Schizosaccharomyces pombe: one gene and its partners. The gene in region 3 interacts genetically with the main gene of each other region. Each region holds a gene or a part of one and is shown on either strand. Other genes may lie near its edges. The genes, in order: pof9, hbs1, arg3 and prp38.

The links.
Region 1: mutations in arg3 (region 3) and pof9 together harm fitness more than expected from each alone (negative genetic interaction), as found in Schizosaccharomyces pombe (one large-scale study listed by BioGRID).
Region 2: mutations in arg3 (region 3) and hbs1 together harm fitness more than expected from each alone (negative genetic interaction), as found in Schizosaccharomyces pombe (one large-scale study listed by BioGRID).
Region 4: mutations in arg3 (region 3) and prp38 together harm fitness more than expected from each alone (negative genetic interaction), as found in Schizosaccharomyces pombe (one large-scale study listed by BioGRID).

Annotation. Positions count from the first base shown.
Region 1 is NC_003423.3:1,866,561-1,874,129, reverse strand, and holds pof9 (F-box protein Pof9), read right to left. Parts: upstream 2,298-7,569; 5' UTR 2,284-2,297; coding exon 1,919-2,283; exon of another isoform or gene 1,849-1,918; coding exon 810-1,848; downstream 1-809. Other genes in the region: phosphoserine phosphatase Ser2, read right to left, coding at 2,829-2,927, 2,999-3,796; SPOM_SPBC3H7.08C (uncharacterized protein), read right to left, coding at 4,287-4,528, 4,689-4,740, 4,810-4,878; palmitoyltransferase Erf2, read left to right, coding at 6,681-7,569.
Region 2 is NC_003423.3:2,590,529-2,598,798, reverse strand, and holds hbs1 (translation release factor complex GTPase subunit), read right to left. Parts: upstream 4,455-8,270; 5' UTR 4,336-4,454; coding exon 4,296-4,335; exon of another isoform or gene 4,242-4,295; coding exon 4,188-4,241; exon of another isoform or gene 4,145-4,187; coding exon 2,460-4,144; 3' UTR 2,375-2,459; downstream 1-2,374. Other genes in the region: M-factor transmembrane transporter Mam1, read left to right, coding at 1-2,374; DNA-directed RNA polymerase III complex subunit Rpc25, read left to right, coding at 5,629-5,836, 5,953-6,039, 6,091-6,359, 6,494-6,541.
Region 3 is NC_003424.3:2,269,283-2,277,055, reverse strand, and holds arg3 (ornithine carbamoyltransferase Arg3), read right to left. Parts: upstream 3,136-7,773; 5' UTR 3,045-3,135; coding exon 2,061-3,044; 3' UTR 1,540-2,060; downstream 1-1,539. Other genes in the region: cmb1 (cytosine-mismatch-binding protein 1), read left to right, coding at 879-1,478; arg11 (N-acetyl-gamma-glutamyl-phosphate reductase/acetylglutamate kinase), read left to right, coding at 4,380-7,037; DNA-directed RNA polymerase III complex subunit Rpc2, read left to right, coding at 7,534-7,773. UniProt on the Schizosaccharomyces pombe protein: Ornithine carbamoyltransferase involved in the synthesis of arginine from glutamate via ornithine and the urea cycle.
Region 4 is NC_003423.3:1,687,297-1,694,194, reverse strand, and holds prp38 (U4/U5/U6 small nuclear ribonucleoprotein complex subunit PRP38), read right to left. Parts: upstream 4,058-6,898; 5' UTR 4,048-4,057; coding exon 3,906-4,047; exon of another isoform or gene 3,708-3,905; coding exon 3,217-3,707; 3' UTR 2,972-3,216; downstream 1-2,971. Other genes in the region: transcription factor Sre1, read right to left, coding at 1-2,367; fructose-bisphosphate aldolase Fba1, read right to left, coding at 4,752-5,828. UniProt on the Schizosaccharomyces pombe protein: Required for pre-mRNA splicing and maintenance of stable U6 small nuclear RNA levels. Implicated in the formation of stable and biologically active snRNP structures.

The DNA of each region.
Region 1 (7,569 bases), on a different chromosome or scaffold from region 3:
ACAACGATGATGATGATGATGATGATGAAGGCAAAGAAAAAAAAGTGTTATAATATAGTTGTTAACAAAAATAAATCAGACACTGTGGAATTACAAATAAATCAGTAATACTTGCTAATTGCATGAAAAGGAAAATAGCATCCCGTAATCTTCAATTGCCCTTCAATCAATCCACGATTTTTTAAATCTGGAAATTTTCGCACAACAGATTTCAGGTACAAGGTAGTCAACCCAACAAGAAAAAATCGTCTCTTAAGATCGATTTCTGCCTGAAAATACCGGTTTTCTCGACACCTGGATCTGTAAACAAAACCCCCAAGTTAGGGTCGCCAGAAAAAAATGGGGTGGTTAGGAATATTACAAACCACCAACGCAAACGACAAATAGAGAGCAAGAGCCCAACAAATTTTGACCACCGAGGATTTAATATGAAAATCGGTAACCTTCCTTACAGTCCAAATCAATTAAAAAAAATAATAATGTTTGGTAAAAACTCGTCGTAGTAGCACAGTAACTTAATTCACAGGGGTCAGGAATATAAATTGGTCAATGTGTGTACTTTATGTAATTGCGATACAGGAAGAAGGAAAAAAAATTTTCTCACTTATTTAATCACCGTTGTGTTTTCCTTGTGCTGCTTTTTTTTATAATTGGCTTACCTAGAGGAATTAGTAAAAATAGAGATAAATTCGGAAGTCCGAGGTGGCCGAGATATTTATTTATTTCACTTACTTAGCGGACAAAATAAAATCCTTCTCTAGTGCGCACGCGGAAATTAGCTTACCAAGCAAAGTTGATCACTATTTCACCTAGCCGTCCCTTTCCAAAGTCCGAGTCGCAGGGGCAGCTAAAAAGCGCAACGCTGGAACTCTGGATGGTCGGATGATAGAAAAAGTTGTAATTGGAGGCACATTGACTTCGGGTAAAACAGATTCCGAAATGGCGAGAGCAGCACTTTGCCATCCGCCGGCTGCAACTGAATAGCAAGTTCCTGAAAAGTGAATTTGATGTGGAATGGAAACGATGTTGCGTGCGGTGCGTGGATCAGAAACAATGCTGGGATCAGATGTCTGTTCTTGCAAATGAAGAGAACCCAAACCTAAACACCCACAATAACGTAATTCAACACCCCACGACCATATGGAATGATCGCTTGTTAAGTAAAGATGATGATGATCGCCATGCGCCAATTGCTTAATTCCTCGGTTCTGGAGAAAGTCGTGGATAACCGGGTCATCATCGACCTGCTTGGTATTAGCATGACCCATGTAAACAGTATTGCCATCGTCCGATAAACATGTGAAAGTTTCAAAGCTGCCTGCTAAATGCCAACCTTGATGGGGGTCGTGCGAAGCGAACCTCTTCAATTCTCTTCCTAGCGTGTGTTGTGTAGCTTGGTCCAGGTCTAAACGAAACACGGCGCCTTTTTTCTGAGGTGATGCGACAGTATACACTAGGAATCCTGCGCAGTGAACATAATCGTTCAGCACGAATTCCTTCATCGATGCCTCTGGCTGGAAAAGTTGCGCTTCACTTTCTCGTCCAGTGTGCCAGACAAGAAAGCCAATGCCCGGCACATACGCCGAATGCGAGTCCCAACCTGATTTAAAATTAGCAATTCTTCCGCGATAGGCTGATAGCATATTTTGTTCATCTGTCAAGCAAATTCGTGTTTTTAGAGATACTTGATACAAGTGTCCCGTCTCACCGAGTGCAAGACAAAACTCTCGACCAGCATGGATTTTCACAATTGGCTCTAAATCTCTCATCAATTCGGGCCCAACATTGTTTGGTACCCCCGTAACATATAAATTTCCGTTTTCATTTAATAAATACATCCCATAACCTCTAAATTCCGCATAGGGAATAGTTAGTCATTGTAGTGCAGTCAAATAAATTCCTGTATCTATGCGCTTACCCAACTTGAACCTGAATAGTAGAACGAACGTCCTTCCCAGTCAATGCACCAGGACGATCTCGAGGATACTGATTTGTATTGACGACGCGGCCCAAATAGTTTCTTATCTGTTGCCCCCATGAGTAAGCGTATCCTCGGTCTTTCCATACAGCATAGGGTCTTTTGTAATTATCATCAACAACTGGGACTACATTGGTGAGACCTTGGACCCGTGCACAAAATCGATGCCAAATTGTTTTGTCGTCAAAAACATACGAAAGTGACTTGCATGTTTCTGACAAATGAACTATATCTTTATAATCAAGATATGTACTAATTTCTAGCAATATATCGTAAGAAAGCTCCAGGAATGGTGATTTAGCCATAATGAATCTCGCATGGGTAGTAGTATATGAATACCTCTGAATATATACAAGGGAAACGGTGTTGAAATACGTCAAAAGCACATGTTTTCTGCAACTCTTAATAACTAGATACAATTGTATTATTTACAATTAATAAATGATAATAAAGAAAGGTCTATGAAACGAAGGTGTAGTCATTGCACGAATCAATTTCAAAGTCTATCAGCATAACGAAGCAGATTTAAGAGTAAATGATCGGCTTTATAAAAACCAATTGAGTAATTCTTGTCTGTTTTAAAGAAGAAAGCTTCTGAACTGCCCCTTTTTTTTTAAGCATTCATTGCACACCCTTTCCAATGAAGCATTGATCATACCAAAATTGTAAATTAAGGAAAAAGAAAAATAAGAGTATCAAAAATAAAGAAGTAGGGTATATAAAAGACGGCTCCTACTACAGAAAAAAAGACCACGCGCACAAGTAAAATATTGCTTTATAAAAACCAAGCCACAGTAGCTCAGAGTTCTTGACAGCGCCTTGCGATTGAAAAATTCTTGGAAATTCTAAATTAATTTTTGTTTTCCAATAGCTTTTTTTGTTGTTGCTCATCAATACCCAAGAGGTAAAGAGCGTTTTGCAAAGATGGAAGATTGATTTTCGAATCAGCCTAATTAAAAAAAAAAATCGAGTTAGTAAGATCATTAAAAACATAAATTTGTAAAAAAATTTCGAACATACCAATAATTGAACTTTGGGTTTAGCTTTGAACGCAATTCCTAAACCGGATTCGGCCATCATGACCAAATCGTTAGCTCCGTCCCCAACAGCCATCGTTTCGAGCTTATTTAAACCCAACTCTTCCCTCTTTTCACGCAAAATGGAAGCTTTTCGTTGTCCATCTACAATTGCACCTTGAACTTTTCCAGTGAGGAATTTACCATCATCGGAAAATTCAAGTACATTGGCATATGCATAGTCCAAGTCCAGTTGTCCCTTGACATATTCAGCCATTGGAACAAATCCACCACTAGCGACAACAAGAGTCGCACCCATTTGCTTAAGGCAATGACAAAGCTGTTTAGCTCCTGGAGTGAAAGTAATTTTGCCAATGACTTTATTTATGACATCGACGCTCAACCCTTGTAGTAGAGAAACGCGACGACGAAGTGATTCTTGAAAGTCAATTTCCCCATTCATTGCAAGAGATGTAATCGTAGCAACCTCTTTCTGGATGCCTGCTTCTGCCGCGAGCTCGTCAATACACTCTTGTTGAATCAACGTCGAGTCCATGTCAAATACTACAAGCTTCTTTTTAGTGGAAAATGTTGCTTCACTCAAGCAATTACAGTCTACATTCTCAGTAGCAGAAATGCGGTTACAAGCGTCTTTAGCATCTTCAAACGTTCCTTTAAGTTGGCCTGATACTAAAGTCCACTGTTCCCCCAGAGAACGAGTCTTCCCATCTCTAAACAAGGAGGAAATCTGTTCAAGCACATTTGGACGATTTGAGGAAACAACTATGGCTGCGTTGACCATGCTTATTAAAAGGTATGAGTGGGTTTGCTAAATTTTCTAAGTTGAAAAGCGTTGTTTTCGGCAAGTCCCATTTACTAATTACTCGGCTATTGATTAAGCTTAACGTTAAACGACAACAAGTACTAGGTCAATTTAAGTTATTTGAAAATCTCAAACAAGCTTATTTTTTGTTATTGTTTACAAATTTATCATTATCTTCAAAATGCTGTATAAATTGTGAAGTTGGTAAAGTGGTGCCTAAACTCCGTTTTCAAACACAGGTTAATAAGCAAATATTTTTTTTATACATTAAAGCAATAAAGCAAGAAATCATAACTAAGAAGATGTTTGGAAATATTGCAATATATCAGGGCAAATATTCCAAAAATGAGAGCCTACCATAAAGTAGAGAGTGAGATATTTGTAAAGTGAAAAAGCACTAAAAAAATATTTGGCAATGTAATAATTGTTCTCTTTCATTCCTAAAAGGTTATACACAATTTAATGTGCTTTACTTAGAGAATCGCTCAAGTACCTCTTCTGATACACCTTTAACGGGAAAAGTGCTGTATTGAATAGCAGAAGGTGCCTTTCGAGGTTCTTTACTCCTATCTCCTCGAGGATAATACTTGTAGCTATAATCAAGACTCTCATCACTTTTTCCGCTACTGCTTTTGGTGTCTTCCCAGGGGTGAGCATTTTTTGAAGGAATTCGGACTTGATCTTCATGTTGTACCAACAAGCCCCGCTGTCCTAAAAAACTGTTAGCTACAATCATTTAATTTAAACAATCATATGTAAATGCGCTTGTAAAATAAATATTCTGTAGGAAAATTTTAACAGAATATTAAAATTGAGTATAATGTTTCATTAACTGCGCTGATTTCTAATTTTCTACTAATTTTTAACATACCAAGCATATAACCAGCAACTCCAAAGGTATAAGTCATGACACACCAAGTTATCTAACAGCAAACTGATCAGCTTACGAAATAATCAACTCAATATATTTTTCAAAAAAAAATTGAGCTTACAAATAGTTCTGGATATTCTCTTGACCAGCGAACCAGGCGGTTCGACATAATTGAGCGCATAATTGACATGATGGTTCCAAAAATAAAAAGTTCTTGTTCGCTTGAATAGTTTGATTAATTGTTTCGAGATGGAAAGGATCTAAAATCCTTTTATGATTGTAAATGTCAAAATGAAATACGTAGGCGAACATTCGCAACATTTATGACAAGCATCAATATTTATGGGGATCGCCACCTGACGCAGACAAGACGTAGCAACGGTGCGCATTAAGAGATTCAAATTTGAATGGATAATAATATCATAATAATCACCAACTCCTTCTACTAAAGTGGTGAAAGAAGCAACTTTCCAATATTTCTAGATTTTCCAGCGTTTGCAATCGGGATCGAACCGCCCTTGTATTTATATTGCTTTATACAGTTTTATAATACTTTTCAGATACTACCTCTACCCTTGTATTATACTATAGAATTTGTTAGGACACTTATTTACTAAACTTTTCCTAAGATTATATTTGTAAATAATAAGAAGAGAACACTAAAAAACTTCGCAAACAAATAAAAATGGTTCGTACCATTATAAATAAATATAGTCATTTTTCAAAATTTAGCTGCCATGAGGTTAGTAACTTAATAGTAGTTGCTGACCGCAAATGTTTCTCCAGTAAAGTAGGTCCAATGTACAAGTACGTTTAAAAGCGTCATTGAGATTTTCTAAGGAATAAGAATTTAATTCATTTCCCTTTAAAACAGGAAATAAAACCAAAGGACCGCTTGGAGTCATGCATATTGAGGAATAACAATCTAATTCGATAATCTTGTGAACTACATTTCCACTAAATACAGTGAATGAAGCCAGGATGGTTTTTCTTAGATGTAGATTAGTAATAATTTTTCTTCAAAATTTCATCCATAACTGACCATATACCGTGTTTCTTGAGTTATTTGTTTACAAGCCATAGAGGTTATTGGGTTATTTCGGGGCTAGTGAAAGTATAGAGATGATCCTTTAAATTAGCCCTTTCATTAATAGCTTCGCGATAATCATAATTTCAATAGTTGCAACACTCTAATAAACTTTTAAGATCTTTTTTCGTTGCTTCCGTACCTTCATTTCTAATATTTTCTCAATTACACCCTCCCATTATTTTCCTGCTAGTTATTTAGCCATTTTAAAAAAAAAAAAAAAAAAAAAAAACATAATACACAAGATGAAAATGGTTTACTAGCTAGTCTACTTCCCATGATATTGGTCTTTTATCTTAGTCTTTGGAGTCTTTATCGAGTCATATATTACTAATTTTTCCATATATTATCCACTTTCTTTACAAACCCGAAATTGCACGGATAGTATAATTTATTAAACTTGATTTTTCTAACTTTGAGCCCTGAATTGTTGTACTGACAGGATGTTCCAATTACAGTATCGATGAAATATATTTAAATAAAAAGTTTGAAAAATATAAATACTAATATATTGGCACTCTTAAATAATTTTTTTTACATTTTATTCGTAAAAAAAAAATAAGTACTTTATTTATTATTATTAATTTTATTTCTTCGGTTAGTATTTTTTTTTTTAGCATTTCATTTCATATTCTGTTTTTATTTCCCTTCTCTTTTTAATACACTCTCATCGATTAAATAGGCGCCATTCCAAATATTAGTTATTAGAGTCACATTCTCTAATTGTTTATTTATTTTGATTTCTTTATTTGCTTAGTAAACAAACTTTGGCGGATGCTAATATTTACTTCACCCTCCATCGCAAAAGGGGTTCATATCCTTACCGACAACAAAACTACAAGATATAATACCAGGTGTAAAAATAGCTGTTTCTTTGCCATGTTTGTTGTTTAGAGAATATAATCATGAGCTATGAGAAACACAGTGATGCTAAGGCATCCCGCTACGCGTGGAATCAGCCATGGAATCCATTTGAGGTGACTTTGTCTGATCCAACGTATCCCATGAATTTGGAAGAAAAGAACCAAATTCCTTATAGATTTCAATCCGTTCCTGATGATGTTCCGGAAGTACCGCATATTGAAAGCCGATATAAGAATTTACCAGGAAACAATATCTATTTATGTTGTGGTCGATTGCAAATGTCATCTCAGTACAAAGCTTTCCTCATTAGCTTGTTTGCCTTGATTCTTCCAGGAGTCCTTTTCTTCATCTTTTCTGCTTTTTGGCTCTGGCATCATGTCTCTCCCGCTGTCCCTATTACCTTTGCTTACCTGTATGCCTTAGCCGTTGTTTCCATGTTCAAGTGCTCGACTGCTGATCCAGGAATTCTTCCTAGAAATGCATATTCTTTAACTTATAACCCTGCCCATCCCTGGTCTGTAATTCCTGAAGACCGTAAAGTCCTTGTTGGATCCACTCGGTCTGACTCTGTCTTTGTTAATACAGTTTATTGCCATACGTGCCACTTATATCGTCCTCCACGTGCAAGCCATTGTCATTTATGTGATAATTGTGTTGAATACCTTGATCATCACTGCATTTGGTTAAACACTTGCATTGGTCGTCGAAACTACAGATATTATTTTATTTTTTTGTTATCTGTCGTTCTTTCAGCTTTGTATCTAACTGGATTGGGGTTCTATACTTCTATAGGAAGTTTTCATGAATCCACAGATACAAATTTTGCGGCGCATCTTCGTCGTCCATGGGCTGGCGTATCTTTCTTCCTTGGCATTTATGGGGCACTTGGAGCAATACTTCCTGGCATCCTTTTCTGTTACCAGTGCTATT
Region 2 (8,270 bases), on a different chromosome or scaffold from region 3:
CAGATTGGCACTTGTTGACGAATTTGCTCTTACATTTGATCAAAGCTATGATACACCTTGTAAGGAAGCTTCGCTTAGTGGAGGTCAACAGCAAAGAATCGCATTAGCTAGAGCTTTGCTTCGTGACACGGAGATTTTAATACTTGATGAGCCAACTAGCGCTCTTGATCCAATCACTAAAAATCTCGTCATGGATGCTATTCGAGCTCATCGCAAGGGAAAAACTACATTAGTAATTACTCACGATATGTCTCAAATTAACAACGATGAATTGGTTTTGGTGATAGATAAGGGTCATTTAATACAGAGATGCGCTAGGAAGGAATTGGTGTTGTTTGAGGATTTTGAAAACAATGTATCAATCGATGAAAAGGTTTTGAAGGAAGAAGCTGATAATCCGTTTATTTTACCAAATGAGGAATCACTGCTTGAAAAGTATTGGATTAATTACAATGAAAGTTTTTCGCAGTTATCCAGAGAGTCATTATTCACCAGTTTAGAATCTCCATTCACCGATATAGAATCTCCTACAATTGTGTCGCGAAGAAAAATTGTTGAGCAAAGGAAGTTGCGTATGGAAAAAGAATCCTTTCAAGAAACGAATGTAGACCAAACTTTCCATTTATTTGATGACAAAGAGCATGCATGTTCGTTAACATTAATCTTTAAGAGTATTTGGAAAGTCAAAAAGCTAAGGTGGTTTTTTCTTCTTGGTTTGCTCACGTCTTTGATACAAGGTGCTAGTGTTCCTATATTTGCTTACGTTATTTCAAAGTGCTTAAATTTGTTTATGCAAATTGATCCATCGATTGGAGTAGCATTTTGGTCTTCAATGGTTTTGGTCGTTGCTGCTGGATCGGGGGCTTCCTATTTTTTTAGTCATTATATTTTTTCAATATCTGCTAAAATTTGGTGTGATCACTACCGGTTATTAGCTGTTAAAGTACTTTTCACTCAGGATCAAGCTTGGTTCGATCAAATCGAAAATTATCCACTCGTGTTATCTAAAATACTTGTTAACAATATCAGTGATATGCGAAACATGATTAGTTCTCTCATTGAGGAGGTTTTTATTGCATTTACTATGGCGATTATTGGAATAGCATGGTCTTTCGCAACTGGCTGGAGATTGGCTGCTGTACTGGTTGCAGTAAGCCCAATTTTATGTCTGACTTCCAGAATGTTTTCATATATATATGTCAGCACTGAGCGGATGTGTCAAGATGTTGTAATATCGACTACCTCTATCCTTCATAAAACGATCGTCAATTTGGATACAATTAAAGGATATTCGGTGCTATCTTTTTTTCGAGAAAATCATAAAAATTCTTTGCGCAAAAGCTGGGAAGCTTTCAAAAGGCGAGCCTTTTGGACTAGTCTTGGGTTTGCTATTAACAACTCTCTTTTGTATTTTGTCAGAGCTCTTCTCTTTTATTGTTCTTCCATATTTATATCCAAAGAATTTTATACTGTTGAACAAATGGTCCAGGTGCTGTCTTTGGCTACTTTTACATTGTTGATGGCTTCTACTTGCATCATGTCTTTGCCCAATGTATCAGCTAGCCGAATCGCGACTAGTAGAGTTCTGAAACTCAGTTCATTGAAGCCAGGAAATCTTCATAAAAGTGGATATCTAAAATTTCCTCTTGTAGGAAAAATAGAATTCGATGGAGTATCGTTTGCATACCCAGACTCCGAGCGTAACCACTTAGCGCTGAATAATGTATCATTGTCTATTGAAGCTAGAGAAAAGGTTGCAATTGTTGGAATTTCTGGATCTGGAAAATCTACTTTGGTAGAACTATTGAGAAAGACTTACCCTTCAGAGGATATTTACATTGATGGGTATCCGCTAACTAACATCGATACTAATTGGTTGCTTAAAAAGGTTGCCATTGTAGATCAAAAACCTCATCTTCTAGGTTCTACAATTTTGGAGAGTTTGCTATATGGTGTTGACAGAGATATTAATTCTGTTATGGATGCACTTGACAAAACTTACATGACTGAGGTAATACAAAACCTTCCTAACGGCTTAGATACTCCTTTGCTTGAATTTAGCAAAAATTTTTCCGGTGGTCAGATCCAACGCCTTGCGTTTGCAAGAGCTCTTCTACGGAACCCCAGACTTTTAATATTGGATGAATGTACGTCTGCTTTAGATAGCAAGTCAAGCCTTCTTCTAGAAAAAACAATTCAAAACTTGAGTTGTACAGTTTTGATAATTACACACCAACCCTCATTAATGAAATTGGCAGACAGGATCATTGTAATGGATTCTGGAATTGTCAAGGAATCTGGCAGTTTCGATGAACTAATGAATCGACATACACATTTTTGGAAATTAATACACCGCGGTGAATGGATTGAGTGATGATGAATTTTAAGTTAATAATTTATTTAATGAAATAATAATAGTATTCTGTCTAATAGTTTTGAAGTGCATAATTTCATCGACTTTAACATAATTCTTTAACAATGCCAGCAGCTACCGTATCACCACTTCTTCTTAGAATAAATCTTCCCAAAGCAGGGCATTCTTCTGCTAGACATAAAGGAAATAATCCATCCAAAAAACTTATACGAACTAATGCGCGCTTCCTGCTTGCTATATGCCTCGAACGTTTATTGTTAACTGTAACAATTTTTAAAGATACCGAAGTCACAGTCCTACCTAAATGAAGGACAAGGGTAGAACCTGATAAAATTGGACCGTGAATATCAAATGTCTGGATTTCAGCAACAAATGATCTTACCCTACGAACAGGATTTTCATAGTTTGATAGTATATCCCCAGGACGAAGTTGATTAACTTCAATGTCAGCCAACTGTAATGTAACTGTATCACCAGCAACAGCCCAAGTCGAAGAAGGATCACTATTACGAATCACATTTTTTACATATGCGTCTTCCTGAGAAGAAACATCATACAAAACTTGATTGACCTGAACATTACCTGCTTCGACCCTCCCGGTAACTGTAACACTACGTGGAGAACGATAAACATCATCGATACTTAGTCTCAACGGTTTCCGATATGGCTTTTCAGGGGGAACCAGCTGATCTAAGGCGCTCAAAAGAGTGGGACCCTTATACCATTTGTAAAGATCAGATGAGTCTTTTTGGATAAGGTTAGTTCCCGAAATCGCAGATATAGGTACAAAATGTACATTACTGGTTTTAAATCCAACCATTTTGATCAAAAAATCAGAAACTATGTTTTTTATTTCTTGGAAACGGTCCTCCGACCAAGACATAAGGTCCAATTTGTTGACACTAACAACTATTTCCGAGATTCCAAGGGCTCGCAACAGATAGGCGTGCTCCCTTGTTTGTCCATTTTCCAAAAAACCACGCTCAAAATTGTTTTGAGAGGAGTCGACAACTAACACAGCAAAATCAGCTGAAGATGCGCCGGCTATCATCCCTGAAATGAAATCCCGGTGACCTGGCGCATCACCAATTTCATAAATTTTTTTATCACTCTCGAAAGTGGTGGAAGCAACATCCATTGTAACACCTCGTGCTCGTTCTTCCTCGGTTGTATCCAACAACCAAGCATACGAAAAGCTACCTTTTCCTGAATTGGCAGCCTCGTTGTGCAACTTTTGCATTGACCGACTATTGATTTCTCCTAACTCAAACATTATTCTCCCAAGCATAGTACTCTTTCCCGAATCAACATGTCCTGTAACAACTAAGTGAACCACGGGTTTAGGATTGGATTGTTCAAATATTTCGGGAACAGATACTAGATCCGTCGGGTTTTGCTTTTTAATTTTCTTTTTCTCCGGTTGGTTATCGCTTTCGGAGGAATTTTTCATCTTTACTTCACCGTTCGTCTGAAATGCTGGTTCATCATTTTTGTTTAGGCTTAAATTTTTAATACCATTAGAAGATTCATCCAATGGATCTTTGGCATCCGCTAAAGCTTCTTTCGATTTGTTCTGTTTTTTTTCTTTTTGGGAATCAGTATTCTGTTTTTCTTTAGCTCCAGCTTTGGAACTAGCCTTTTGCAAAAGATAGTTGACTGATTTCTCTACGTCAAAGTAATAGTACCAAACTGTATCGGCAATTTCTTTTTCTGAAATAGGAACACCTAATAATGTCTCCCTTACTGTGGCTACAGCAGACCTGAATTCCTCTAGATATTGTTCGTTAATATTTTTAAGAAATCATTTACTAACCTTCCTGCTCTTCAGTCAATTCTTCCTCTCCTGGCTCCTCGTCGAGTTCATAATCTAGAAAGACGTTAAAAAAAAATACAAACTATTACAATATCAAATGGTACGAACCATCAAGATCAAGATTTTTTACATCACGATGCCTCGACATATTTTGAATTTGTTATTTTTGCCAAAAGTCAGAAACCAATAAATACTTCTTGTTTTAAAAAAAATGGTTTCTATTGATAAATAATAAATATATGTATAATATTTAAGTTGGCATTTGACACTTTGCTCTAGAGTAAATTCTTGGAAATATTCATACATCATCAGCAGCTTTAGCGAATTTTAGCAATGTCGCTATACTGAATTGAGTGCTGCAACAAGAGTTGTTAAAAATTCTCAACTGTAACAACTGAGTGTTTTAGGGTGGATGCCTTTTATTAAGCCGGACCGGACCCATTCTATTCATTATATAGTAAATTTCTCTCATTGTCTTCAAATGTTTTATGAACTATTGAATTCGGATGAGTAAGAGTAGGGAAAACATAAGTCTGTTTGTAGTGTCAAGTATCAAAAGTTGTTAAACATTAAATTCAAAAATTTTGGCGTTCATGTAACAAAATGAAATATTTAACTTTTTAATGACTAAAAAATGATTTACTTAAGTTTTCTAAACTATGCCAATATTAAAGTTAACAGAATCGTCAAATTTTCAGGAAATTTTAGTATGCCATACTCTCGTTAGATATGTTTGCAGCAATATTTAATTAATTATTTTCCTTTTTTTTATCTTTAAATACTGCTCATAGATATTAACAAAAAATGTTTATTTACAAATATGCTAGAATTTGTAAATAGAAAAAAAAGCTAAAATAGCTAATAATTTTAAAAAATTATTTAGTAGTTCGATTTTCAAAGAATTCTTTCATTAATTATTTGTTTTTACTTCTTAACTGCTCATGAGCATGTATATCGACAGAACACTCAACAATCTTGTTATATTCATCCTTTTAACTATTTAAAATTTATATTAATTCTGTAATAAATTTGTATGTTTGAATAAGCGATTGAAACTTCTACTCATTATAATTTTTCAATTGTAAACAATATTTCATGGATTTGTCTTAAAGCTACTGCGCTAAAACTTCACTGGCCTCGCTAAGTCGTTTAACACGCTTTTCATTAGATCGTTAACTCGCCATGAATGGTCTGGTATGCAACATAATCTTCGTATTCATATTTTTACGCGACCTGGCAAAGAAAGCTGGGCTTGCAGTTAAATTACTTTTTTGAAAGGTTCCTTTTGATTTATGCAAAGTTGTTGACCAAAAGGTTAAGAAATATTTTTAAATTGGATTGTGATCCACTGTTGTATTTCTAATTATTTATCGTTCTATTCAAGTTAAAGATTTTTTCTACAAGGTGGTAAAAACTACGAGTAATAGCCGTTTTATTATTTATGTTTCTCTTGAGTCGGTTTTCAGACATTATAAGCATCCATCCATCCAATTTTTGGAAGCCTACAAAGGAAGCACTGGCTGAAGAAATCCATAAAAAGTATGCTAACAAAGTGATACAAAACATTGGACTGGCTATTTGCGTTTATGATTTTTTGAAAATTGGGGAAGGAATAATTAAATACGGAGATGGCTCTTCATACATGAATGGTAAGTATAAGTCTGCTCACTTTATTTCATATGCCAATTCGCATTATCAATACGAAAGGCTGTCAGGATAGTGATTCAGTGGAAAAGAAAAACTTAAATGGTTCTAATTAGATTAGTGGTTTTCCGCCTTATAATCTTTCGTCCTTTTCGAGGTGAAGTAATGCTGGGAAAAATAAAATCGTGCAGTGAAGAAGGTATTCGGGGTATGTTAAATGTGTTTGTTTAAATGCTTGTTGTTAATGTTTTTCTCCCAGTAACTATTAGCTTTTTTGACGATATTTTCATTCCGAAAGATATGCTTTTCGATCCATGTGTCTTTCGTCCGGATGAGCGTGCCTGGGTATGGAAAATTGAAGGGGAGGACGGCTCAGAGGGAACCGAATTGTATTTTGACATTGATGAAGAAATACGCTTTCAAATAGAATCTGAGGACTTTGTTGATATTTCACCTAAGAGGAATAAAAATGCAACCGCGATTACAGGCACAGAAGCATTGGAATCGGTATCCCCATATACATTGATTGTAAGTTTTTTTTTTTATGTTTAGGGCGAAACTTGTGTCATTATTTATGAAGGGTGCACCATCTATTTGCTAGTATACAAGAAAATATTTTCTGCTTCTCTCAAATCGATAGAATTTACTAACTATATATTTAGGCTTCCTGTTCTCGTGATGGACTGGGCATTCCTGCTTGGTGGAAATGAGCTATTGGATTCGAATCAAAGTCAAACAAAATTTAAAAGCATCAATTAATCATTTACTCCAAATTGTATAAGTAGACTTTCATTCATGTTCTATTTTTCTTCATCTAATGCATCACCAAAATTTCCCAAAAATCACGTGGTCTAGAAAATGGTTGCAATTCTATTCTGTACATTCATCCCGTCTTATAAATTTCATTGCCGAAGGTTTTTGCACAAACCTTTTGGGGTTTTATTATTTCGTTGGAGATACCTGTGTTGTTTTTAGACATGTCCTACTTAAAGGTTGCTTTTAGTGAAAAAGGGTTATTTATAAATCAACTACTTCTTTTTTTTTTTTTTTTTTTAGCTTTTCTCTATTTAAAGGTATATTATTGTATCGAAAAATCAGTTTGTTTACATCTTTGCACAGCAACACATAATGGTTATGAAAACGGCGTTCTTCAAAATTTACCTTCTTGGATGATCATGGTATTTGCTAACAGGGGGCTACTTTAATAAAGGTACTTTCATGTCAAGCTTAAATTTAATCTGGTTAAAAGAGTCATATGTTCTAAAACTTTATATTCAATCTAACAACTGAAGATTCCGCACTGCGTAAAGGAATTTTTCAATGTTAAACAAACGATCCATGCTATGTATGATTTGATTGATTTTGGTATTGTGTATACTAATGTTTAGTAGTATTACCGAATATGGAAAATTTAATTAATTACACAAAAGAGCCGATTCATTTTATAGCATAATAGAATATCAGTCTACTTTTTATGAACAATGTTTGCTTCTTCAGCAAAGAATGTCCATCGCCAACCCACGTTACTCTTTAGTACAGCCGATTTTCGTTATATGTCAGAAAATAGCAACCTTAACATTTCAGCGCCTTGCTATTTGCTATTTGAAAATGACCAACAGCAATTTGACAAACTTCTAATTTTGTTGTATTTGTGCACAAATGCATGGACGTTATAAAGGATTCTTTCGGCTACTGTACTACTTTAGGGATAAACGAATATTTTTGCAAAATTAAAAATACACATACCCACAAAATCATTCACTTTCTTACTTCTAGTACTATTATTAATTTACGGAAACATGCATTAAGCAGCTTTTATGAGTTCCTTAAGCCTCGATAGCTTTTGCTTTACAAACTTTAATGAAACTTAGCAAATCCACGTGATTTGCCCCTAAAATGAATAAAGTTATGCCACATATTTCGGAATCACAAGCAAAGCGCAAGCACTTGACAAAATTGCGTAACCGATTACGCCTTCGGAGCTGACGTGAGTTATCGACTGAATATAAACACCTTATGCTGCTAATTCTGATTAGTCGACTGTATTTGCAAATATTTTCTACATAGGCTTGTCTTCCGTTAATTCTATTTTGTACACTACACCATTCTTTTTAGACGACAGCCGGTAGACTAAATTGTGCTTGTTTCTTGAACAATTAAAGTACATTGAAGAGTGCATATAAAAGAAATAAAAAATTTTTTTTTTTCTTTTACTTCGCTTGAGTCAAAACAGACTAGCACTTATTCTAGTACACTTGAAAGGTGGTGCTTGTTTGACTACATTCTTTGATATTGTAATCAAAAATTTTTTTTTTAAAAATTCCTTTTCTCCTGATTTACTTATTGAGGTGTTAAATTCTTGAAATTTTAAACGCGTTTTTTCCGCTCAACCTCTGTTTTCTTGTGTTTTATTAGGCTACTTTTTGCCTCCTTTTTTTT
Region 3 (7,773 bases):
TACTGGAAAACAGCCAACTTTTCAAAGGTACTATAGTTTGTGGTAAGCGGCAAGAAATACCGAAAAAATGCAGACACTTACGACTTGGTTAAACACAGCCAAGAAAAGTTAATACACACTAGATGTTATTAAAAACAAACAAATACCCGGGGGCTTCTCGTCCCTTTAATACAAATTTTGTAGCTGTAGAAAGGAACTTTAAATTAGGCCGACAGCCTTAAAACTAAGTTGGATTGACGTTTAGAAATCGGGGTATAGAGGGGCTCTAGAACTAATGAGATTGAAGCAACGTATACCCCATCTCTTCAGTAACCCAAGATGCCAATATGACAAAAGAAGAACCGGGGCATGTTATTTCGGTTTATTAAATTAAAATAACGTGCTGAAAGAATACACTGTAATGAATAGTGAATAGCAACGATTCCACTGAAACATTTTTATACTAAATACACAGCTACAATATAGTCTATGGTGAGTAATGAATATGAGAGTGCTGGGAGGTACGGTATATAAGGAAGGTTGGAAAAAGTATAGAAATGAGTGCTGTTTTGTTGCTCAAGAGATGAAGATGCGTTTGTTTCCTTTTCATTTTGGAGTACCTTTTTGATTCTGTGGACCAACGCTTTGTTATGTTGAATGTCGAAGTGTTTCACTTAGAAAAAGAAACTACCTTTGTGGTTACAAGAAACAAACAAACTGCTTTTAACGCCTTTATTCTATGCTATTAAAAATTGAGTAAACCGTCTTTTTACTACTCATTTGTCTGTTGTACAATATTACGTACCCGATATTTACTCAGTACTTGAATGCGTCTGTTTGACGCAATGCCTCCTTACCTAACTTACCAAGCACCATTATCTTTGATCATTTTTCACAAAATGGTATTTGCAATTAGAATACGCCAGTTTCACACTACTCTCGTTTCTGCCGAAAAGAATGGATTACAGAAGTTGATCCCCCCTAGGCTGAAAACCATTTGGAATCAAATGTTGGTTGAAACAAAAGGTGCTGGTAATGGTCCTGAGCGCTTTGAGATGATTCGTCAAAAATACAAAGCTTTGACTGCCGATGAGATCCAAAAGTATAAAAACAAACTCCAGGAGCAGTTCGATGCTGAGAAAAAGCGTTTTATGGAGACTCTACGATCCTTTACACCTACAGAAATCGATAGTGAAAATCGTCGTCGCTCGAAGGAGGCTCACAGCACGGGCAGTCGCTATTACAGACTTCGTCATCCAGATGTTCCTAAAAAACCTTCTTCTGCTTTTATCCTCTTTTACAAGGAGCTTCGAAACAATCCCAAGCTACGTCAAGAGTTAGGTATTCCAGAAGCCATTTCCACACTCGTTGAAGAGACCCAAAATGCATCAAAGGCGTGGAAGGAATTGGCGGAAGACAAGAAAAAGCCATTTATTGATAAAAGCAAAGCACTTAAAGAGCAATACGATAAGTTTATGAAAGAAGCCGGATTTCGATGATGCACACTCTACTTGCCCAGATCTTTTTTTTCTATAGATTTCTTGAATCAATGAGTTTACGTTTTATTTTACTAGCATACATGCTTGAAATATAATAAATTTCGATGCCTACACTAAGTTTTCTTTCTGTCGTAGATTCCGCATTGACGAAAGCTTTATTGTCCCAAAGCTTTTTCCTTATGAGTGTTGCGCTTATTTGTAGTTTCTATTAATTTTAAATTGTATTTTGCATATAATAGTGCTTAATACTATGATTGCTTGATACCTTGAAATATCTAGTTAAGAGGATAGCATTAAGCGGGTAATAATTTTACACAAAGCTTGTTGGACTAATGAGCCAAATTGATCCATCCCCTTTTTTAACGTATAAGTACGTCTTTAGAAGCCTGTGTCCTGCGCATAAAAAATCTGAAAAGTAATTGTCAATTAAAAAATTTTCTCAAAAGTCAATTTTCTTTTTGTGAAACAAAGTACATAAAATTTCAAAAATGAATATCACAATTTGCACGCCCAATAAAAAAAATTATAAAGTTGGCATTGTTTGCACATTCCCCAGATAAAAATGAAATTAAGGATTTCAGTTTAGGCTGAGGCAGGAGGAAGAATTTCACCACGGTTGACAAGCAAAGCCTCCAAGACAGCAACAGTGGTCCATTTGCGGTTCTCTGCTTCTTGGAAAACTAAACTGTTCTCTCCATAAAATACCTCGTCAGACACTTCCTCGGGATGACGGGGTAAACAATGCATGAATTTGCAGCTAGGTTTGGCAAGCTTCATGATCTCTCCGGTGACTTGGAATCCTGTAAATTGTTTAAGACGTTGTTCCTTCTCAGCTTCTTGACCCATAGAAATCCAAGTGTCGGTAACGACGATATCAGCATTTTTAACAGCAACCTTGGGGTCGTTAACAATTTCAAAAGTAGAACCGTTTTCGTTCGCAGCTTCGTTAACGATTGATAAAATATCGTCGCGAACGTTGACGTCCTTGGGCTTAGCAACGCTAGTATGAATACCAACCTTGGCATTTGCAATCATCAAATCATGTAAAACGTTATTGGCATCACCTACCCATGCAACTTTTAAACCGTCAAAGCTTTTGAAAGTTTCCTTAATAGTGAGTAAATCTGCTAACGCCTGGAGAGGATGAAACGTGTCACAAAGACCATTAATAACAGGACAAGAGGCATGTTTAGCGAGCGTAGCAACATCTGAATATTTGTTTACGCGAGCAACAATACCAGAAACCATACTTGATATAACTTTTGAAGTATCGTATAAAGACTCATTCACTCCTAATTGGATATCATCTTTACCTAAAAACATGGCATTGCCGCCAAGGCAACTGACAGCACTTTCGACTGATACACGAGTACGAGTGCTACGCTTACTGAAGATCATGGCGACATTCTGAGACGACAAACCACTCATTTGAACAGAACGGCGATTCTGAAAATTCTGCTTATAAGCTTGTTTAATTTCAGAAGACCGATCGATCAACTTTACAATCTCTCCGCGACTAAGATCACGAATGGATAGTAAATGACGAGGAAATTTTTTGAAAGACATTTTCAATTGCAAACTGAATAATTCTTCTCGACTAAATATATCAAAAATACGGTTTTTGTAGTCGACTACAAGGAACCCACAAGTTACTGGTAATTTCTTAGATATTCAGGGTGAGATTGCATATAGCCGATATCTAGTTCTCTCTCAGACTGCGAGATTGGCGCCGTAATATATCGTATGCGGATTTTCGACGAGATGGAAAATTTTTACATTATCGTACACTAGAGTTCAGTTGCAAACAAGCTAGTACGTTGATGAAATATGATAAAACAAGTCAAAAATTAAAAACTACTCATAAACATTCTATTTCCTTTCTTTTTCTTATGTTATTCATGGTAATATTGATACAGAACGTCAGAATACTTATCAGCAATAGCTTTTAAATACCAAAATCGTTAATTGATTAGCAGTAAAAGAATATTCATGGGTTTAGCATTTAATTATAGAACTAATGAAAAGGGATGAATTTTTTTCGACCTTGTAATATTTTTTTTATTTACCACCCATTCTTTAAAGAACCAATACATTGTAAATAAAATGTATCTAAAAAACGTGTAGTTATTTTTTTTGTTTATTCAATTATCTCTTGACACTATATTCAAGCGAGCTGAAATAAAACCAATTGTGTTACTATATTGATAACTCAGCATGCTTGTGAAATCAACAACTACCATGAAATGAACAATGAGTTCACAGATTCGCTATATTACAAGCTTACACTTACAGTATTGCATAAAGCGAAACAAGTTTTAACGAAAGAGAAGGGCTTCTTGCCAAATTTTTTTTTTTTTTTTTTTTTTTTTTTTTTTTAACGAGATTATCTTAGATAATAAATTTTATGATAAGTGCTTTTGTCTCATCAGGGTCATTGGGACTATTCAACGCGAAATCAAATAGAAAACAAAATATTGTTTCAAAAGAATGCTTTCATGTATAAATCAAGATATTGAACTGGCTTGCATAGAAATAATGAATATTGTACTGTGTCAGTTAGGACTAGTATTAAATAATGTATATACAAATAGATTCATTGTCGGCAAATGAGTTGCTTTTACAGTGTCATTTATATAGCTTTAATTCATTAAATGTCCATGTCTCACGTTTGCAGCACTTTCATGTAAACTGTTGGTTTCCGATGTAATTTTCAGCCAACAAGTAACATTATCGATCTCATCTTTTTGAGTGATTATCTCCAGAGCAAATCCCTAGATACAGCAATCAAATTTTAACGAATTATAGCTACGTTTACGAAGCAAATGATTTTCCAATTTTGAAACCAACCAAACTGCCTTCTACCAACTACAGTAAATCATAGAATATCACTAGAATTTGGCAATGCTTATTGAATTGCAACAAATTGTCAAGTCCGGTCTTGTACGGAATGGAGCGAAACACTGTACGAAAAGGAGCTTACTATGTTCCAATGCATCAGTCATTGCAAGCAAACGTTTTCAAGGCAGTTTTGCCCCGGGTCAACAACAACCGTTAAACCCACTCGCGAAACCAATTGAACAAGATCGTGATGCCATCATTAGAATTCTTTCCTCCATCGGAAGCCGTCGTGAAGTTGAGCAATACCTACGATACTTTACTTCCTTCGAAGCTCAACGTTTCGCTATTATCAAGGTTGGTGGTGCCATTATCACCGACGAATTAGACACATTGGCACAAAGTCTTGCCTTTTTGAATCATGTGGGTCTTTATCCCATCGTTGTGCATGGCGCTGGTCCCCAATTAAACAAAATTCTTGCCAGCAGAAATGTTGAACCCGAGTATAGCGATGGTATTCGAATCACCGATGCCGAGACTCTTTCTGTAGCTCGTAAAGTTTTCTTAGAGGAAAATGCGAAACTTGTAGATGCTTTGGAAAAGTTGGGAACTCGTGCTCGTCCCATTACAGGTGGTGTATTTCAGGCAGAGTATCTCGACAAAGAAAAATACAAGTATGTTGGCAAGATTGTCAAGGTAAACAAAGCTCCTATTGAACACAGTATTCGTGCTGGAACCCTCCCTATTCTTACGTCTATGGCCGAAACTGCTTCTGGTCAATTGTTGAATGTCAACGCCGACATTACTGCTGGTGAGCTTGCTCGCGTATTGAAGCCTCTAAAGGTGGTCTATCTCAATGAAAAAGGTGGACTTATCAACGGTGAAACAAAGAAAAAAATTAGCAGCATCTATTTGGATAGGGAGTACGATGGCCTCATGAAGCAACCATGGGTCAAGTATGGTACGAAGCTCAAAATCAAAGAAATCAAAGAGTTACTTGATACTCTTCCCCGTACATCTTCCGTAGCCATTATTAGTACGAAGGATTTGCAAAAAGAGCTTTTTACGGAATCTGGCGCTGGTACTTTGATTAGTCGCGGTTTTGTCATCAACAAACATGACTCGTTGGATAGCATTCCAGACGCTGCTCTAGAAAATTTGATCATTCAAAAAAATTCTTTAGCCGCACCTAGTGAAAGCTTGAAACAGTTCAAGGATACTCTGAAAGACAGAAAACTTCGTATTTATAGTGACTCTTTCAATGAATCTGTTGCTATTGTCGACACCACCGACTCATCCTTGCCAGTACTCTTAGCTTTTGGTGCCGCCGACAATAATTGGTTAAACAATGTTGTTGATAGCATATTAACAACATTAAAAGCAGACTTCCCTTCTTTGCTATGGCGTCTTCAACCTTCAGCCAAGAATCTGGAATGGTTCTTCTCTAAAAGCGAAGGTACTTTGTTTGCTAATAATTTTTACTACTTTTGGTACGGTGTAAAAGATTTGAATAAAATCTCCAAGTTCATTCAGTCTGACAAGCCATTTGCCGATGCTATCATTCAGACCCAATCCACTAAACCCCCTACTGCTTCATCTACCACCAACAACCCTTCCTCTTCACAGATCAATCAAAAACGAAGTTACTCAACTAGTTCTTTATTTTCAAAAAACAAAAAAATGAATCGTTCTTTGTTTTTAAAGGGTGGAAAACGATTTTTTTCTGCTGAGGCTCAGAAGACCCAAAAACCTTTGAAGGCGGTCTCATCGAAGCCAGCAAAAGTCGTTCTCCTTGGAGCCCGTGGTTATACCGGAAAGAACTTGATTGGATTGATTAACACTCATCCTTATCTCGAATTATCTCATGTTTCTTCTCGTGAGTTGGAAGGCACCAAACTTCCTGGCTACACTAAGAAAGAAATTCAGTATGTCAACTTGTCCACAGATGATGTTAAAAAATTAGAGGAAGAGGGAGCGGTTGATGCTTGGGTCATGGCCCTACCCAACGGTGTATGCAAACCTTATGTCGATGCTTTAACGTCTGCAAATGGTAAAAGTGTCATTGTTGATTTAAGTGCGGACTACCGTTTTGAGCCCTCGTGGCAGTACGGTCTTCCTGAACTAAATGACCGTGAAGCTTTGCGTAACTCGAAACGTATTTCCAATCCTGGTTGTTACGCTACTGGATCGCAAGTCGGTTTAACTCCCATACTCTCTTTGATTGACGGCCAGCCCTCTATTTTTGGTGTATCTGGTTATTCTGGGGCTGGCACTAAGCCCTCTCCGAAGAATGACTTGAATGTATTGACAAACAATTTGATACCTTACTCATTAACTGATCACATCCATGAACGTGAAATTTCTTATCGTTTAAAGCAACCTGTCGCCTTTATTCCTCACGTTGCTCAATGGTTCCAAGGAATTACTTTAACTATTAATGTTCCGTTAAAGAAAAGTATAACTTCCCGTGAGCTTCGTAACTTATACCAAGACCGTTATAATGGTGAGCCTTTAATTCATGTTCAAGGAGATGTACCTTTGGTCAAGGACAACGCACACAAGCATCATGTTTCAGTTGGTGGTTTTGGTGTGCACTCTTCTGGAAAGCGTGCAGTCATTGTAGTTACTATCGACAATTTACTTAAAGGTGCTGCTACTCAAGCTCTCCAGAATCTCAATCTGTCCTGTGGTTACGATGAATATGCCGGTATCCATTTGGATTGATTATATTTTTTGTAGCCCATTCTTTTGTTATTTTTATTCTTTCTGTGTACCATTTGGATATTTTTTTGTTACAAATATTTTGAACTAAATGCATTAATCCTTGCTATTAAATAGCCAGCAGTAAGTCGCGTACGAGTACCATCTTAAGTTTCCACACATTTTAATTTAGTTCTTGTTCAGTTATACAAAATTCCTCTGTCTGTGCGTCGCAGACTCTTCAAAACTTATATAAACAGATTTGAAGTTGCTTTCTATGGTATAGATTTTCATCAACGAAATAATTTTTGTACGTAGAATAAAGTGGTAAATAGTTAAGCTTCAATAATCTTAATTGCGTATAAGTTTTATTTCTTTATTTAAAATTATATATGTTACTTAAAAAATAAGCCCAAAGTAATAAGAAATCTCTATCCTTGCATTACTAACGCTTCCTCCATAAGTATATTTTTGGGGAGGAATTTTGCTACCGTCCGCCATTATCAACTAAGTGAGTTCGATGGGGGTAAATACTGCCGGAGACCCTCAAAAAAGCCAACCCAAAATAAATAAAGGTGGAATTGGGAAGGATGAGAGTTTTGGAGCCCTCTTTAAACCTGTTTATAAGGGCAAAAAGCTTGCAGACCCTGTTCCCACCATTGAAGACAAATGGCAGCTTTTACCTGCATTTTTAAAGGTAAAAGGACTTGTTAAACAGCATTTAGACTCGTATAACTATTTTGTTGATGTTGATTTAAAA
Region 4 (6,898 bases), on a different chromosome or scaffold from region 3:
CTTGGATAAGTTGATCTTTAACACGCTTGACTGCTTGCGTTTATCTTGGCTGCATAAATCCAAAGTGTTCTTGTATGCTGCAAGGACTTCATTCAAAGAATCAGCTGTATTCTCGGGGAACAAAACCAATTTAGCTAGTAAAGCATGACGAATAATAGAGGAGTTCTTAGGACAAAGGGAAATAATTTCCTCAATCTCGGATATCTCAACTTTACGGCTCAAACTTTCCATCAAAAGGGCATCCAACAAATCAGCGGCATACCATGAGGCAAGCACCTCTAGAGGAGATAAAACCAAAACATCAGATAAGGAGCTAATAATACTATCTGACATTTGAGCAGAGTCACGGGTGCACTTTGCTAGAACCCACAATCGCTCAACCATATTCGGAGAGAAAACGTCGTCAGCGTGGGAGTTTTCAATTAGGTTAGCAGTACACTCAGGAAGCTCACGTAACTCCGCGTGTACAGAACTTTTGCTATGTTGTTTCTTTGCAGCATTCCAGAAGAAAGCAACGCACTTCGAAACGATAGCGGATGGGACAGAGGTGTTGGAAAAAATTAGTTGGCAATACATTGCTTGTAAAGCACAAGTATGACTTGAAGGAGGAAGAGAAAATGAACTGGCAAATACCATTAAGAGCCTCAAACGGTCAACTTTAGCATCACCACCCATTAATTGGGCATCCAAAAGCTTTTCCATGTTGCGAACTTCAGCAAGTTGTTGCTCACTATAAACCCAATTCTCAGAGGAGGTATAAAGAGCACTCAAACGATGAGTCAAATAGCCATAAGCAGATTTAAGAGTGAAGATCAGTAATCCAAAAAATAGAGAAATAGTCGAAGTAGAATGGTCCAATAAACAATACTTTTCGAATACGGTTTTTCGGAATAAGATTGAGGATGGTGACATGGAAGATCTGGTACTAACTTTAGATTTCTTTTCACCCTTGAAGCCTTTGAAAAGAGAGTTATCGTGCAAAAGATAGAATAAACCGAGTAAAACAACACCAATTTTCAGCATGTTAAAGAGAACAGTACCTGTGAATGGAGACATAAGAAAAGGTGGAAGAGCGAATAAACCATAAACAGATTGAGAAGAATCGTTTCCAAAATAATTGAATAGACCAAGTCCAACCATGCCATTTAGTGCTGTGCGGCCCATGGTATTTAGGGTTGGGGAAGTAAAAGCTCTTTGGGTTAGGTTTGGTCGAGAAGATTGGTGAACAGAATAGTCAGATGAGGAAACAACATTAACAGAGTTAACGGCTCGAGTATCGTTAGAAGGAGGAGCCATCGAAGGATCTTCGTAGAAAGCCAGCCTATCTGAAAGCTGCTTGTTAGTCTTCTGTAGTTCCTTATTCTTGGCCTCCAAATGTCTGATATACTCAGTTGCTTTTGCCAATATTGTACCCTTGTTAAGCTTACGAGCGGGTGTCAAACCCCCCAAATCCTCATCGTCCAGAGAATTACCACAACGAAGTGCAGCAGCAGCACGAAGTGAAGGAACTGCATCACGCAATTCACAAATTCGGTCGTTCAAGTTGGTTCTGTATCTCTTCTCAATCATGTTATGAGCTGTCTTCTTTGGTTTTCCTCCAGGACCGGCTACAAAATCTGGGGTTTCAGAAGGAGATAATGAGCCTCTAGACTTGGGGGCCGAAAAAGGTAATGTTTCAGGAATTGAGCAAGAATCTTCCGAGGAAGGAGACAACTTTATTTTCTTGGCAGAAGGTTCAGGCTTGCAAGTGGTGTCCATGGGTGTAATAATTTCTTCGGTTTTCAATTTGACTTCTGGATTTGACATATCAGCTGAAGGATAATTTTGAACAGTCGATGGATCGATTGTATCAACAGAGTGAAGGATTTTCATTTGGCGCTGAATTTTATCATCGGCATCGAACTCATTCAATGATGGGCCGGTAAAGGTCTCATTCTGAAATGAATTTGGAGAGCCGCAATTAGAGAGAAGAGGATTTGTAGAGTTTTCTAACGAGTTAGGGGAGCCCATGTTGGTCGAAGTAAACAGAGGAGGCGCCGAGTTCATCGTATTGTCGAACGCAAAAGGGTTAAGCCAATTGCTCATTGATGACTCCATATCAGAAAGGGAAAACGAATGGGGAGACAACGAGGTGTTGGTCAAGGTTGGAGGTGAGTCCTCGACAATGCTAGCCAAATCACACAACAGATTGGAACAATTCTCCACAAAGGGAGTAGAAGTTGAAGCCTTTGTCGATGAAGCCAAAGGGGATGAAGAAGGAATCGCACCCACTGAATTGGGTGATTTGCTGTCAGGCGAAGCTTTTGTTGGAGTTTCCATTGCAGGAGAAGCGACCGACACGGAAACTGACGGAATTGAGCTTTGCATATTTAACAAAATTTCCAGCTAGAACCAAGCGGAATTTAACAGCGAGTTAAAAAATCCAACAATAAAGAGAAATTGAATTTAACTCTTAGGGTTTTTTATCTCTGTGACTGTATAGGATGTTGAGCGAATTTTCTAATCGAGCTACAAATTATCCAAAATTTGACGCATTAAAAGCTATCCAAGGCGATAGATAGCAAAATAATTTCTTGAATGAGTTGTAAAATAAAATAATGTTCTTAGCAAGAAGGAAATCCAGCTTGATAATCGTTTAAGATTAGGTTATAGCAAGAGTCGAGCGCAGTAAACAAACTCTCAGCAACAACCCAATTGTTGTCAATGAACTTATAAAGGCTACTGGACGTCCTATAAGTAAAAAAATTTAAAATCGATCACCCGATAAGCAAAGTTAGGATTGCTCGAGTATGGTAATGGATGAAAGAGAAAAGTCGTGTTAATTCATATGTGAGCAAAAAAGAAGTGGACTGACATGTTTTTAACGAAACGTAAGAAAATAGACGGAATGGGGTGATTCGTTAAAGTATGGTGTGAAAAAAATTCCGTGGCGTATCAAAGACATTTTATAAATATTTAGTGTGCTGTAAACTAAGTCTATCGAAATTTGTTTACAAGAAAAAATAGCGTATTTGCGATAATATGTGAAATCGATATATATTAATATACAAATCTATTTGATTAGATGTTTGTTATTCATAAATTGTTTTTTAATAAGTTCAAGTGTAAAACCATTTCAATCCATAACTTTTCCTTGTAGAGTCATTCCAAGTTAAATCGTAGACGCATCACAAAATGCGTGCTTCGCTTTACTCTTTTTTTGTATATTACTTATCCTTAAATATTCCGATCTACAGCACCTTCATTGCTCTCCAATTTACTAATTTGTTCTTCATCATCATCTTCTTCGTCTGAAGAAGATGAAAGTGGTTCAAGCAAGTCCAAATCTTCAAGTTGGAGTCGACTTCGCAATGGGGGCAGGGAAATATCGCAAACTACTTCGGCATTTAGCAAATCATCAACAACCTCATCCAGATATGTTAATCGGATCTCAGAATTAGTACGAATTCTTAATTTCCGATAATCTCTTAACAGCGGTTCCAACGTTTGATGCACTTCCACATCATCCCATGTAAGCCGAACGTAAAATGCAGCCAGGGCACGTAAATACTTGAATTCAGGAATAGATAGGTACTGTTGAATTATTTCTTTTTCAGGTGCAATTTGTAAAAGCTTGTATAACAAACAGATAAACTCGGTGGGCCGTTGATTTCCATACTGACCACCTATATATTCAAGCCGTACTGCACGATCCACCAATGAACAAGCTAAGATGTATTAGTCAGTGAATTTGGAATAACAGTTTGAGGACTGATTAAAACAGCAAGTACCTATACTTGGTTTCTTTGCTTGCCAAATCAAGTTCATTTAGGCTATATCACTCAAAATATCGATTTGGAAAGTAATCGTACTTGAACTCTAATATGTAAAAACACTTTCCTTTTCTGTCAATGAAGAACACATACCATTCAATCCAAAACATTGTTCTTTCCAGTAAATAGAATCTACTATGCGTTCTCTCAAGATTTTTCCTATAAGGAAAGTCGGCAGCATTTCATGCGCCGCCTCACCTTGAGAGCGATAATCTCTAGCAAGAAAATCAGCCATAGTACCTCATGAAGAGAATGATTGCTCCAACCTTGATGTCTTGACTTGGAGTAAGCTTTTAAGGAGCAGTAGTGTACTGACAATATAAGTGGTCAAGTCTGAAGAAGCATGCTGAGTTTTGATTGAGAAAGGGTTATCTAAAAAAAACATGGATTCGTGAAATATGGAGGAAAAGGGAAAATGCCCGTACTCATTGCAATGAAAGAAGAAAAAGTTGATCTACTAAACAATGCACACTGTGTACACAAAGCACATGAAATTCAAGCGATTATGTTGTTTTAAGCTACTCATCGAGATTTGCCAAACGATATATATTAAATTCAAATAAACGCACGGACATATTATTTATTCATTCATTGTCATGTGGAATCGGAAATTTTTTTTTTGTAAATTTATATACCTAAGAACACATTAACCAATTAAGGAAGATGAATAAAAGGATAAAAAGAAAAATCTTAACAATATACAGTATGCTTGAAAAACACTTTACAAATCCAATCCAAAAAAATTTCTTAACTTACTTTGCCCTACTTTACTTCAAATATCTCTTATGCTTTTACAATGGTAATTTTAAAAAACAATGTCTCTATATTCAAACACGTAATTTCAAAACAGTATGAACTCTCATTAAGGGGACAAAAAAATATAATTTTAATGAAGCCCACCGTCTATTCAATCATTTCCATCTTTCAAAAACCACAAATTTAGAGAGTGTTGACAGTGTAGAAGTCCTCAAGAGCGGTAAGAACACGCTTGGTCATGGTCTTCTCACCCTCATGGATCCAGACACGAGGGTCGAACTTCTTCTTGTTGGGCTTGTCAGCTCCCTCGGGGTTACCGACGGGGGTCATAAGGTAGTCCTTGTACTTCAAGACATAGTCACGGACACCCTCGACGTAGGCGAATTGGGTATCAGTGTCAATGTTGACCTTGACGACACCGCACTTGATACCAGTACGGAACTCGTTGACAGAGGAACCGGAACCACCGTGGAAGACGAAGAAAACGGGCTTGTCGTTGGTGGTCTTGAGTTGCTCCTTAACATAGGCTTGGTGTTGACCCAAAAGAGCGGGTTGGAGCTTGACGTTACCGGGCTTGTAGACACCGTGGACGTTACCGAAAGCGGCGGCAATGGAGAAGTAAGGGGTAACGGAGGAGAGCTCACGGTAGACATCCCAGATGTCCTCGGGTTGAGTGTAGAGCTCGGTGTGGGAGACGTGAGAGTTGTCGACACCGTCTTCCTCACCACCAGTGATACCGATCTCCATCTCGATCCAGATCTTCATGGGAACGGCACGCTTGCAGTACTCCTTAACTTGAGCAATGTTCTCCTTCTTGGGCTCCTCGGACAAGTCAAGCATGTGAGAAGAGAAAAGAGGCTCACCGTGAATCTTGAAGTAGGCCTCATCGGCTTCGAACATACCGTCCATCCAGGGGAGAAGCTTCTTGGCGCAGTGGTCAGAGTGCATGACGACGGGGACACCGAAGAAAGGAGCGATGGAACGGATGTAGTGGGCAGCGGCGATGGAACCGGCAATGGAGGCCTTTTGGCCCTCGTTGGAGGATTCCTTACCAGCAAAGAAGTGAGCACCACCGTTGGAGGTTTGCAAGATGATGGGGGAACGAGCCTCACGAGCAGCCTCAAGAGCAGCAATAGCAGTGGAGGAGGAGGTGACGTTAATGGCAGGGATGGCGAATCCGTGCTCACGAGCGTAGGTGAACAACTTTAAAACGTTGTCACCTGTAATAACACCAGTAGGTACAATATCGAGAATTCCCATTTTGCTAATTTGTGTGTGTGTTCTATACGACCTTTGGAAGTATGATACTGCAACAGTAGCGCGCAACCCTCTATTATATACCATGGAGCCGGAGTTGGCCTCGGAAAAACTTCTCACCTGATGTGCATATCGATACCTATCCGGTCCGTGGTTACCACCAATCACCGTCCCCTGTTTTAGGGGTTGACGTCAAAAGAAGTTTTTGATTTCTTCCATTTACCATCCCCAATCCCCCCGATAGCGCTCTGCATCGAAGTACGCAATTCCGTTCAAGAACCGTAACACGTTGCGTGGTGTGTGTCAAGGCAAAAGGAAGCGGCGGCGGCGGTAACCAACTCGTTCACCCGATGCACAAACACAAACAAAAGAAACATTACCAACGTAAACATAAATACAAACCTAAGCATTAAACATTTATAAATACAAACATCTAACCTGCCCTATACTATTCATATGTCTATTTCATTTCTATTCATTTCTTTTCATTAATTTCATTTCATCTCCTCTTGTCTTGTCTCGTCTCGTCTCGCTTCTCCATTCTCCCAGCCATCCCTACTTCCCAGTTTGAGTGATGGATTTTTCTACTCAACCAACTTGAACCAGCCAACTAAACTAATGCATTTCTTTTGTTATCACAGTCTGGCCGTCTCGGTTCGGTTCGATGGTGTTGTGCCCACACACCCCATCTGCATCTTCGGTAGTATTCTTATTTTATAGTTGTCGCCTGGGTCAAATGATCAAGAAATGCAAGGCAATTCTTCTTCCAAGCATGCTTGAATTAGCTTTACCATCAATGTAAGAATAGACACTTTGCACCGCATTTCATCACTGTCTTTACACAAGCAGGTATGTGAAATGAAAAGTATTTTTGGACATATACAAAGTGCACAACTAAGTAGCTCTCTCACGTATTGATGATTTTCCATGCGTCCGACCGGCATTCGTTTACGGGAGTATGAATTTCGTAAGTGGTTTGATTGATTGAATGCTTTATCATTTTTTGGTTATCTAGTACCACTTGTGTTTCGCTTGGCCACGAGTAATATTAGTCCAGCAATGAGGTGAGAGAA